Kluyveromyces lactis: one gene and its partners. The protein of the gene in region 3 purifies or fractionates together with the protein of the main gene of each other region. This does not show direct contact. Links are inferred from orthologs where the notes say so. Each region holds a gene or a part of one and is shown on either strand. Other genes may lie near its edges. The genes, in order: ULP1, PSE1 and KAP95.

Region 1 (3,577 bases), on a different chromosome or scaffold from region 3:
AACGATTTCTACAGGTTAAACTTGGCCTAGCATCCATTTCCGTCGATATTTGCCTCCATTTCGTACCATATTTCTTGACCTTCGCTATAAGTAGAAGATCTTCCGTCTCATCCCAAGGTCGTAGTCGGTCTTTAGTACTGGGATCAAGCACTTCGATGTACCTCTTCGCGCATTGGTCTTCAGTTCTATTCTCTAAAACGTAGGAAATCTTAAACCATTGCGGACCATGGTGTTCATATGATTTTAAGAGAAGCTCATCCTCCTCTGGTGTCCATTTACCTTTCTTCAATACAGGATCTAAAGAACTAGTCCATCTCTTTTTCACATCCGTCGCTTTCTTATTATCCAATTCGAATTGCTTGGCAAGCTGATCCCAGGGAATTTTTTTGACAACATTACTAGATTGCTGAATTGTTTTAATAGATTTGATACCATCCGGATATCCCAAATTTACTAACGATTCGTTAACCAATTTTCTAAGCAGATCATCTTCTTCTTTGGTCCATATTTTCCTCATCTTTCTTCTAAACGTTTGATACCCTAAAGATTCTGAAACCTCAAGAGCATTGACTGGTTCCTTCTTAACTCTCTTCCTCAAATTGCTCATATGCTCCTCTGACATATCACCCGAATCGTCACTCACACTGCTAGCTACAGTTCCTTTCTCACTCGACGATTCATTCATATTCCAGTCAAAATAGATACTTGATCCAAGATACTGATTTCTTGATAGAAAAGTCAAAAAATTAGACTGAAATCAAGTTTATTAATTAACACCAATTTTACTACTTCTCAACCAATGTTTTTGAGATTGTTCAAAACTTTATAGCAAGTGTATCTCGATATTTCCGTTATGACTGTTAGTACAATCAATAGATGACGATAACGATAAACTTCTTTTTGTTTCTGTTAATGATATTTTGGGTTGAAAACCAAGTTGTAATTTAATACAGCTCTGAAACTGTCTACACAGCCTTGTATCTGCTGTGATATAGGCGCTGTATTCACCGTTTTCACTTCGCTTGATAGATACCCTGAGAGATACTCTACATAGTTATGATGTCAAATTTGAGTAATCTTAGTCTGGCAAATTTCTTTATTTTCTTTTTCAGGCAGAAGGGCCCTGGCAGAAATTTTGTGCACGTGATAGTATCCGGGTAATGTTTAAATAAGTATACATTTCTCAACATGGATTGCATCTCTGTCGAAAAGCTGCTTTCAATTATCAACAATAATAACTTCAGGAACGAAGAAACGAGGTAATATATGGTAACTTACAGGCTACATGGCAGCTGAAATACTAGTTTTGAGTGTTAGTTTAATTATTGTAACCGAATCATTTGTTAAATTCTAACTTTCACCACTTATATGAAACTGGCGTAGAAATAATGACGGTATCGTATCATCGAAAAGGGTTTGATGACATTAGTGATTATTCCAGATCAACGGTGATAACTGCAGATGTCTCTTCTAAACCATACTATTTCGACCGGAAAGGTATCAAAGATAGTTTAAATTCTGGTAATGAAGCACGTGATAGAGGTAGCGAAAGTAGGTGGAAATCGTTGGGATATAATACTGTCCTTTCAACTCTTTTTGATTCAGCAAAGACATGGTTTTCCTGGATTGATCCTTTGGAGCAAGAAAATGGGAAAGATCGTACCATTTCCAACACTACTGGAGCAAATTACGACAGTTTGAAAAGAGGAGTTGATGAGGAGTCGACTCCGAGAAAGAAAATTCATTTAGACTCACTGCTCCAAGAGAAGGAGCATTTAAGGGAACAGTTACAACATTCAATTACTCCAACGAAAGAAGTGTTGAAGTTACCTAAGGATCCTTTCCATTGGGATAATACTAATGAAGAAAACTATACAGAATCCTCACCTACAAGAGTACAATATGGAACTAGACTCTATAGAAAACTCAAGCATAAGAACCAGCAACAGCAGTCCACTGCATTAATTGCTAAACCGTCCGATGAAGTATCATATTTAAAAAATTTATTCAACGGAGAATATCATGTACCGATTGAGATGCAAAAGGAAAGGGAAAATCAGCTCAAACTTCTTTCAAGAGATAACAGCCACAGCAGCAATGCCAGTACAAACAGTAGTAATAACAACATTGTAAGGCTTACAGAAAGGATTAAGGCTTTAATTTTGGAAAACAGGAAATCAATAGGCCCAAGTACCGAAAGAGGATCTACAACTGATGACATAGTCATAATAAGAGAGCACAAGCTTGATCCATTAGAAGAGAAAAGGAAACAGATCTACAATCAGACGTTGAAATTTGATCGTTCTCTCCTTACTTTTGAAGAAGAGTTCAAAAGCTATTCTCAGTTGATTGAAGAAAGAAGGAAACTAGTAGAGCAAGTGAGGAAAACCGCCAAACCACAAAAACTGATACCTGATCTATCAACTGAAGATTTATCGGAAGTGAAAGCAACTTTCAATAGGTCTGATAACGCTGTTCTTTCATCCAAGTATATGTTGGAAGTAACTGTGCGAGATTTCAAGACATTAGCCCCTAGAAGGTGGTTGAATGACACAATCATTGAGTTTTTCATGAAGTATATCGAACAAAACACTGCCAAAACTGTTGCATTTAACTCATTTTTTTATTCTACTTTAGCTGACAGAGGCTATCAAGGTGTAAGAAGATGGATGAAAAGAAAGAAGGTTGATATTTTAGATCTTAATAAGATCTTCGTTCCTATCAATTTGAATGATTCTCATTGGACATTGGGTATAATAGAAATGAAGCAACACAAAATTTATTATCTTGATTCTCTTTCTTCTGGAATGAATTCGGTCAGTTTCCTAATTATGAAAAATCTCCAGTCTTATGTGATGGAAGAAAGCAAACAAAAGCTTGGTGAGGATTTCGAACTTTGCCATATTGCTTGTCCACAGCAGCCAAACGGATTTGACTGCGGCATATATGTTTGTCTGAATACACTTTATATGAGCAAGGATTACACTTTGAGCTTTGATTCTAAAGATGCAGCAAACATGAGAAATTACATAGGTCATTTAATATTAAGTAAATAGAATTAAACTCTTTTCGTTGACGAATACTAAAATTTGCTATTCTTACCACTTGTTTCAGACTATTTCAAACGTTGAAATGAAATCATCTTGTAGACTTCGCAACTCTTCAATGTCAATTGTTTTTTCATGATTACAAAACGCTTTGAGTTTTTGTACTAAATAATAAACCTGTTTGATTTGGGTAGTTTGACATGCATTATCACAAGAATCTTCCTTTGCAATGATTTTCAAACCTTTTCTTTTGCTAGCTCGAAGTAATTCCGATATTTTGTATGCTTCCAACATAATTCTTTCACTGAAAATTCGTTTACAAATCATCATACCGTATCCTTCTATCTCTTCTGATTCTGTGGAGGCTTTATATTTCATTTTGAGATGTGATTCCTGATCAATCTCAGTTTTCATCTCAAGATGTAAAACACGAGGCTTTGGTGCCAATATTTTAGGAATATCTCTGAAATGTGTCGATAGAAATACAGTAGCATTTTTGGAAAGGAGATATTCCGATATAGCCAAAGCTA
Region 2 (4,276 bases), on a different chromosome or scaffold from region 3:
GGACTGGATCAGCATCTGAGCTAGAAGTTCCTTCTTTATCTATAAATTATTTTTGGAAATCTTTTGATGCCTCTGATAATGAAAGTGCTTCTTCTAGTCAATTATCTTTGGTAGATTTAACACAAACAATAGGTAACTTTAGCTCCCACAAACAGTTACAACAATCGCAACTTCATTTGCAACAACAACATCAACAATATCCTTCACAATCACAGCAACCGATCCCAGAACAGTTTTCTGGAAGAAGAAGCTCCACATTATTACAAAAAAAATTCTTCGAAAATGGAAAACATACCAAATTCCGATTGAAAGTTACCGTCGTGAAGCCTAATAAGGATAATCAAGTTCTAGGCTCTATGAAATTCAAGACTCAGTCCGGAGTAAACTTTGAAAAAGACGTCTTAAATGAGATTGTAGCCAAAGTGAAAGAAACTTATGGAATCGAATCACCGTACTCCATTGAGTACATGGATATCGAGATAAAAACTAATGAAAAATTGCATCAAATTTATGACGAGTTCATTGTTATGCAGGGCTCCCGTCACTATATGCCTTTGCTTTTTATTCTGCATGATAAGCAGTCAGGTGTTTTCCACCACCTACGTCAGTTTTTTAAAACGATGGCAACTCCATTCACCGCAGTGTTTCATACTTCCTCATTGAAGATATACATGCAGGCATGTATAGTCTTCTTCGCTGGTTTTATGGTGGGAAAAGCTTTAAAATGAAACATTCGGGGAAGTTACTGGTTATCCTTGCCATATACCGATGTATATAGATTATACATTTCCACTCATAATTCTTTCTTATTAAATGAATAAACAATTGGCTGCCAAGAAAAAAGAAAAGAAGCACTAGAACATCTATCAGAAATACAAAGCAAATATGGAAATATATTCACATCAATTAACCGTTTCCTTCTTCTGCTATATTAAGAACACTGTCCAATGACAGATGACGACGATCTTGATATTACAGAGAGCACCACTATGTGTTACCCGCATATCACTATGGACGATGCACTATTAGTTTGACCTGCCAAATTTTTCTTCCTTCTCTGTTCCTGTGATTCCAAATTATACATGAAAGAACAATTCGTTCTAAGATCAGATATTTCAGATATATTGAAAATTGAATAGTAGTACATTTTATGTTACAGTTACTGGTTTTTGCTGAAGTTTTAGCATTGAACATAAGTTCGCCTTCGTTGCAATCAGTATATTTTGACGGTAGGAAAATTGAGCTTGTAAGCAATAATCTCTATTGAGGGAGAGAATCGAAAAGCTGATAGCAGTATAGTTTACTTTGTTTGTTCTTTGTTCTTCTACTATCCTTTTCCTTTGAATCATTTTTTGTGGTGGCTGATTCGAAACAATGTCAGTTCTACCGGATGAAGTGAACAGCACCTTGGTGAAGTTGCTACAGGGCTTTGCATCACCAGACAATGCGATTCGTTCGGCGGCAGAAGATGCTTTGAATAACAACTGGATTACACCGGAGCACATCGAAGTTTTGTTGATGTTTCTAGCGGAACAATCTGCATATTCTGATGATTTGACTACTGCAGGTTTGTCTGCAGTTTTGTTCCGTAAGCTAGCTTTGAGAGCGCCACCTTCATCTAAGACTATAATCATTGCCAAAAATATTACCCATATTTCGAAGGAAGCCTTGAAGCAAATTAGAGATACACTTTTGAAGGGTTTTATCTCCCAAAGACCCAACAATATTAGACACAAATTATCTGATGCAATTGCAGAATGTGCGTTAGAAGAATTACCTGAGTGGCCTCCGTTACTCCAAACGTTATTCGAAGCTATCAAAAACACAGATCCAAATTTCAGAGAATCTAGTTTCAGAATTTTCTCAAGTATGCCTCATCTAATCAATTCCATTGACATCAACCATGCTTTGCCTATCTTTGAGAGTGGATTCACGGATCCTAGCGATGAAGTCAAGATTGCAGCTGTTACAGCGTTTGTTGGGTACTTCAAACAGCTTCCAAAGAATAACTGGGCCAAACTAGGTGTTCTATTACCAAGTCTTTTGAACAGTTTGCCAAAGTTTTTGGATGACAGTAAAGATGAGGCCTTGGCCGCCGTATTCGAATCATTGATCGAATTAGTTGAGTTGGCTCCTAAACTCTTCAAAGATATGTTCGATCAAATTATCCAATTTGCAGATATGGTCATCAAGAATAAAGATTTAGAACCGAGTGCCAGAACGACTGCTTTGGAGTTGTTAACTGTCTTCAGTGAATGCGCCCCTCAGATGTGTAAAAATAATCAAAATTACGCCCAATCAGTGGTACTTGATACCCTTGTCATGATGACTGAAGTTTCCATCGATGATGACCAAGCAATCGAATGGCAAAATTCGAATGATGTAGAAGAAGATAATGAGGAAAATACCTACGATATGGCACGTCAAGCTTTGGATCGTGTTGCCTTGAAATTAAACGGAAAATACTTGGCCGCACCTTTATTCCAATTCTTACAACAAATGATCACATCTTCTGAATGGAGAGAGAGGTTCGCAGCATTGATGGCGTTATCATCTGCTGCAGAAGGTTGCCGTGATGTATTAATGATCGAGATAGATAAGATTTTGGAAATGGTTGTTCCACTGATCGATGATCCACATCCAAGAGTTCAATACGGTTGCTGTAATGTATTGGGTCAGATATCCACTGATTTCGCTCCTCTCATTCAAAGCACTTCGCATGAAAAAATTTTGCCTGCTTTAATCTCTAAGCTCACTTCAAGCTCTGTCGACAGAGTTCAGACCCATGCAGCGGCTGCCTTGGTGAACTTCTCCGAACAAGCTACGCAATCGATTATGGAACCTTACTTGGATAGTCTTTTAACTAACTTATTAAGCATGTTGCAAAGTTCCAAGCTGTACGTTCAAGAACAGGCCTTAACTACTATCGCATTTATCGCAGAAGCAGCCGAAAAGAAATTCATCAAATACTATGATACATTAATGCCATTATTGATAAACGTGTTGAGAACCGATACAGGTACTGAAAGCAGAGTCTTGAAGGGTAAGTGTATGGAATGTTCTACTCTTATTGCATTAGCTGTGGGCAAAGAAAAGTTTGCCTCCTACTCTCAAGAATTGATCCAGTTATTCATAACTTATCAAAATGAAGGTATTCAGGACGACGATCCTCTAAAGACTTACCTTGAACAAAGTTGGAGTAGAGTTTGCAGGATTCTTCGTGAGGATTTTGTTCCGTTATTGGATGTAGTTATTCCGCCACTACTTGAAACTGCCAAGGCTACCCAGGACGTTAGTTTAATTGAAGAAGAGGAAGCTGCAAACTACCAACAGTATACAGATTGGGATGTTGTGCAAATTCAAGGTAAGCACATCGCTATTCATACTTCAGTTTTAGATGATAAAGTGACTGCTATGGAGCTTCTACAAGTTTACGCCACTGTGTTGAAAAGTTTCTTTGCATCATACGTTAAGGAAATCCTTACAGAAGTTGCCGTCCCATCTATTGATTTCTACTTACATGATGGTGTTAGAGCTCGTGGTGCTACTTTAATTCCTGCTTTGTTTACCTCTTTGGTATCGGCTGTAGGACAGGACAACGATATCGTTTTACAATTATGGCAAATTGCATCTAATAAGCTAATTTCTGGAATTATTTCTGAACCGATGCCAGAAGTTACTAAGTCGTATCACTATGCTCTTGTTGATTGTTTGGGAATTGTCGGAAACAACGGATTAAATCAAGAGCAATTGTCACAATTTACACAAGGTGTGAACAATAACTTAACCGACGTCTACGAAAGAACAAAATCCCGTTACGATCAGGATGACGAATACAACGAAGATGTTGATGACGATCTTGATGAGTATACCGATGAAGATTTGCTTGACGAGATTAACAAATCTTTAGCTGCTGTTTTCAAATCAGCAGGTGTTTCTTATCTACAGCAGTTCCAGACTTTATGGCCAATAATACATTCATACTTGCAGGAGACTGAGGTATTCATTTTATTGTTCGCCTTGATTGCAATTGCTGATATGATAGAATACACTGGCGATAACTCTGCACCTTTCAAACAGCATTTCGTTCAGAAAATTAAGGAGTGCCTCACATTCCCTGAACCCTCCATTCGCCAGGGTACTGCATACCTACTCGGAGTATGTGCACAATATGCCCCCAACACCTACTCTGACATATGTTTGGGATCGTTGGAAACTTTATTCCAAATCGTCAACATGCCAGAATCCAGATCTGAAGATAACGTTAATTCCTCGG
Region 3 (4,117 bases):
TTAGTTCAATACGTCAGATATCGACACTCACTCAAAACACAATGGTTTCTCAATTATTCGAAGAAAAGGTATGTGGAATCGTTGTTGCAATGGCTTTTGATTTCCCTTAATAATCATACTAACCGCATCTTACATTTATCTGCAGGCTAAAGCTGTCAATGAATTGCCATCAACTCCAAATAACGATGAATTGTTGAAATTGTATGCTCTATACAAGCAAGCAACCGTCGGTGACAACACCAAGGAAAAACCAGGCATGTTCAACTTGAAGGACCGTTACAAGTGGGACGCCTGGGAATTGTTGAAGGGCACTTCCCAAGAAGATGCCGAACAACAGTACATCGAATTGGTTGACCAATTGATCAAGAAATACGCCCCATAGAGCTGGATGGTCTCGCAAGTTATTGCATCATCTAACTAACTATCTATATCTACATATATATTATCCTTGATCCATATAGCTAATGATAATACCCTTATTACTCGGTTTGAAACACGAATTACAAGTCACGTGAACAAGCTAACGCCAACTATTTACCCGGCTATTTGCAGTTGAGTGGCAAAAAATTCTTTCTTCCCTAGCAGTATATAAGTTACCCTCCGTTAAACAGGAGCACGATCCCTATTTTTCTCTTCATTTATGGGGTTCATACATTGTTTTCTAGGCAATATATCCGGGTAACAGACTCTTTTACTTTCCATCTGATTCCACTCCAAATCGTAGCACAAACGCGCTTTACAAGATGCTACACAGCTTTTTCTTATTTTTTGCTTATTCCCAAGCTTCAAAGAATTTCTTTCCTTCACATCTATTTATCAAACAAAAACAACTAGAAAACATTTCGTAAACAAAAGAACTTAGGATCCAAGAAACAGGGAAACATTTCACTTTGTATCCTTGCGTTTAGGTGTCTTGTGCAAGGGAGAACGGTTCGTGAGACACTTGATCGAGAGTTCATACTCAGAAACTCGTTAGTAGGCGCCGAATAATTACAGAATAAAGGAAGATCTAACGTCGCTATTCGATATACTGATACTTTTATAAAGTGAACCAAGTGTGAAAATTTATTATTTGCCGTTTGCTGTTGCAGTTCCTTGTTTTATTTCTATAATTTTGGAGACTGACTATTGAAACGACCCGCTAGGATTTGGAAACACTAGTAAGTTATAATACCCTTTACAAATCGTTATGTCAGCTTCCGAGGTTGCCCAGTTTTTGGAAAACATTATCATTACTCCGGACCCAACGGTCCGTCTTCAAGCGGAGACGACGTTGAAGAAATTATCTAACGATAATTTCTTGCAATTCGCTGGACTTTTGTCTCAGATCTTGGCCGATGTGTCCGTTCGTCTTGAAGCTAGAATTCTAGCAGGTTTGACGTTGAAGAACGAATTGATTTCGAAGAACCCAACAAAGGCCCAGCAGTTTGCTCAACGTTGGTCTACGCAAGTCGATGCAGAGTCTAGACATCATATTAAGCAGTTTGCGTTACAAGCGTTGGTTGATCCAGAGACTCGTGTTGCCAACGCTTCAGCTCAGTTGATCGCTGCCATTGCAGAGATCGAATTGCCATTGAATCAATGGCCAGAGTTGATGAAGATTATGGTAGATAATACCGCTCAAGAACAACCAGAAAATGTTAAGAGAGCTTCCTTGTTGACATTGGGTTATATCTGTGAAAGTGCAGACCAAAGTGATGAAACTTTAATCAATCAATCGAACAACATTTTGATCGCTATCGTTCAAGGTGCACAGTCGAACGAAACTTCTAAGATTGTCAGACTTACCGCGCTTAATGCATTGGCTGACTCGCTTGCATTCATTAAGAATAATATGGAACGTGAGGGTGAAAGAAATTACTTGATGCAAGTCGTATGTGAAGCTACCCAGGCTTCGGATGAAGATATTCAAGCGGCCGCATTTGGTTGTCTTTGTAAAATCATGTCACTATACTATTTCTACATGAAACCTTACATGGAACAAGCTCTATTCGCTTTGACCGTGGCTACTATACAATCATCCAATGAAAAGGTGGCAGCAATGGCCGTTGAATTTTGGTCTACCATCTGTGAAGAAGAAATTGATATTGCTTTTGAACTGTCACAGTACTCCAACCCAGGCTTGGAATCTTACAATTTTGCTCTAGTATCCATCCAAGAAGTGGTGCCAACTCTATTACAGCTTTTAACAAAGCAAAATGAAGATCCGGATGATGATGATTGGAACGTGGCAATGTCTGCTGGTGCTTGTTTGCAACTATTCGCTCAAAACTGTGGTAACTACGTAGTAGAACCTGTCTTGCACTTCGTTGAACAGAACATCACCAGTGACAATTGGAGACAACGCGAAGCGGCTGTGATGGCTTTTGGTTCTATATTGGACGGTCCTGACAAAACTCAATTGACTAGTTTAGTCCATCAAGCGTTACCACCTATCCTCAACCTAATAACGGATCCAGTTTTGCAAGTGAAGGAAACAGTAGCATGGTGCATCGGCAGAATTGCAGACTCAGTCGTTGCTGCTATAGATCCTCAAGACCATCTTTCTGATGTTGTAAACGCTTGTTTGATCGGGTTAAAAGACCATCCAAAAGTGGCTACCAATTGTTCTTGGACGATTATCAACCTTGTCGAACAATTAGCTGATACCCCTTCTTCTCCGATATACAATTATTATCCAGTTCTTGTTAGCGCATTGCTTGAAGCTTCAAACAGGTCAGACAATGAATATAATGCTAGAGCATCTGTATTTTCTGCTTTGACTACTTTAGTAGAGTTCGCTAATGACCAAGTCGGGGAAACTACTACCTCAATTTCCACTTTTGTTTTGGATAAACTTGGACAAACAATGCAAGTGGATGAAGCTCAATTAACAGCTGAAGATAGACAAAACTTACATGAATTACAATCGAACATTTTATCTGTTTTGGCTGCAGTGATTAGAAAGAACCCACAATCTGTTAATCCAGTAGCAGATATGTTGATGGATCTATTTATGAAACTTTTGAGCAAGAATGATACAACATACGTGGAAGATGATGTCTTTTACGCTATTTCTGCTCTAGCATCTGCGTTGGGTAAAAACTTTGAAAAGTATTTGGAAAGTTTCTCCCCATATTTGGTTAATGCGTTAAATCAAGTACAGTCCCAAGTTTCTATCACTGCCGTCAATCTAATTGCTGATATCTCTAACTCTTTAGAGGATGACTTCAAGAAATTCGCTCCATCGTTCATGAGTGTTCTTGGGCAAATGCTTTCTTCTCCAGATGCGAAGAAGGAATTACAACCTGCAGTCCTTTCTGTTTTTGGTGATATTGCCACCAACATTGGATCAGATTTTATACAGTATTTGTCCCAAGTTATGTCCGTGTGCGTCATGGCTCAAAACTATAAACCGAATTATAGCTCTTCTGATGCCCTCGATTATCAATATAAATTATACGAATCAATATTGGACGCATACGTAGGAATAATAACAGGGCTACACGACCAACCAGATGCATTGTTTCCTTACACAGGTTCAATTTTCCAATTTATCAACTTATTGGCTGATAATCCAAGTGTTGCATTAGAAGATTCAATTGCAAGAACAGCAGTCGGTATAGTGGGTGATATTGCTGCCATGTACCCAGACGGAAGGCTCCAACAATTCTATACACAACCATGGATGATTAAGTTTGTAAAGGACGTGAAAACCAATCAATCCTTTTCTCAAAACACTAGAGATACAGCAAGGTGGGCAAGAGAACAACAAAAGTTGCAATCTAACTTGTGATTCTTTTCATTCGCTCTTGTTTGCCTGCCTACTATTAATAACAATACACTGACTTCCACAGACAACTCACTTGCATAATTCACTGCCTTTGACAGTTTATTCACTCCAACCACTGTTCATTGGATCTATGGACGCCAGTTCCCTCATCCTTTTTAATATAAAGAAGTCGACCAGTTCAAATTTCCTTTGATCCACTACTATCATTCTCATTACTCCTACTACTCTTATTCCCTACTCTTCTACTACTTACTACTCTCTTTTATTCTCACTATTGCACTACTTATTATTCTACCCTTGTATTTTATTTAATAACTCATTATTCTGTTTTATTCTCTTCTCTAC

Evidence for each region.
Region 1: the proteins of KAP95 (region 3) and ULP1 purify together in Saccharomyces cerevisiae (affinity purification with mass spectrometry; 6 studies listed by BioGRID, with this or other methods). This does not show direct contact. The link is inferred for Kluyveromyces lactis from reciprocal best matches to the Saccharomyces cerevisiae genes KAP95 and ULP1.
Region 2: the proteins of KAP95 (region 3) and PSE1 purify together in Saccharomyces cerevisiae (affinity purification with mass spectrometry; 4 studies listed by BioGRID, with this or other methods). This does not show direct contact. The link is inferred for Kluyveromyces lactis from reciprocal best matches to the Saccharomyces cerevisiae genes KAP95 and PSE1.

Annotation. Positions count from the first base shown.
Region 1 is NC_006042.1:1,013,104-1,016,680, forward strand, and holds ULP1 (SUMO protease ULP1), read left to right. Parts: upstream 1-1,388; coding exon 1,389-3,056; downstream 3,057-3,577. Other genes in the region: KLLA0_F10978g (uncharacterized protein), read right to left, coding at 1-685; MutS family protein MSH4, read right to left, coding at 3,111-3,577. UniProt on the Saccharomyces cerevisiae protein: Protease that catalyzes two essential functions in the SUMO pathway: processing of full-length SMT3 to its mature form and deconjugation of SMT3 from targeted proteins. Has an essential role in the G2/M phase of the cell cycle.
Region 2 is NC_006039.1:1,223,501-1,227,776, reverse strand, and holds the start of PSE1 (importin PSE1), read left to right. Parts: upstream 1-1,374; coding exon 1,375-4,276. Other genes in the region: KLLA0_C14190g (CBS domain-containing protein), read left to right, coding at 1-728. UniProt on the Saccharomyces cerevisiae protein: Functions in nuclear protein import as nuclear transport receptor. Serves as receptor for classical and arginine/glycine-rich nuclear localization signals (cNLS and rg-NLS) in cargo substrates.
Region 3 is NC_006038.1:508,978-513,094, forward strand, and holds KAP95 (karyopherin beta), read left to right. Parts: upstream 1-1,189; coding exon 1,190-3,775; downstream 3,776-4,117. Other genes in the region: long-chain fatty acid transporter ACB1, read left to right, coding at 42-68, 146-382. UniProt on the Saccharomyces cerevisiae protein: Importin beta subunit that functions in nuclear protein import through association with the importin alpha subunit, which binds to the classical nuclear localization signal (cNLS) in cargo substrates.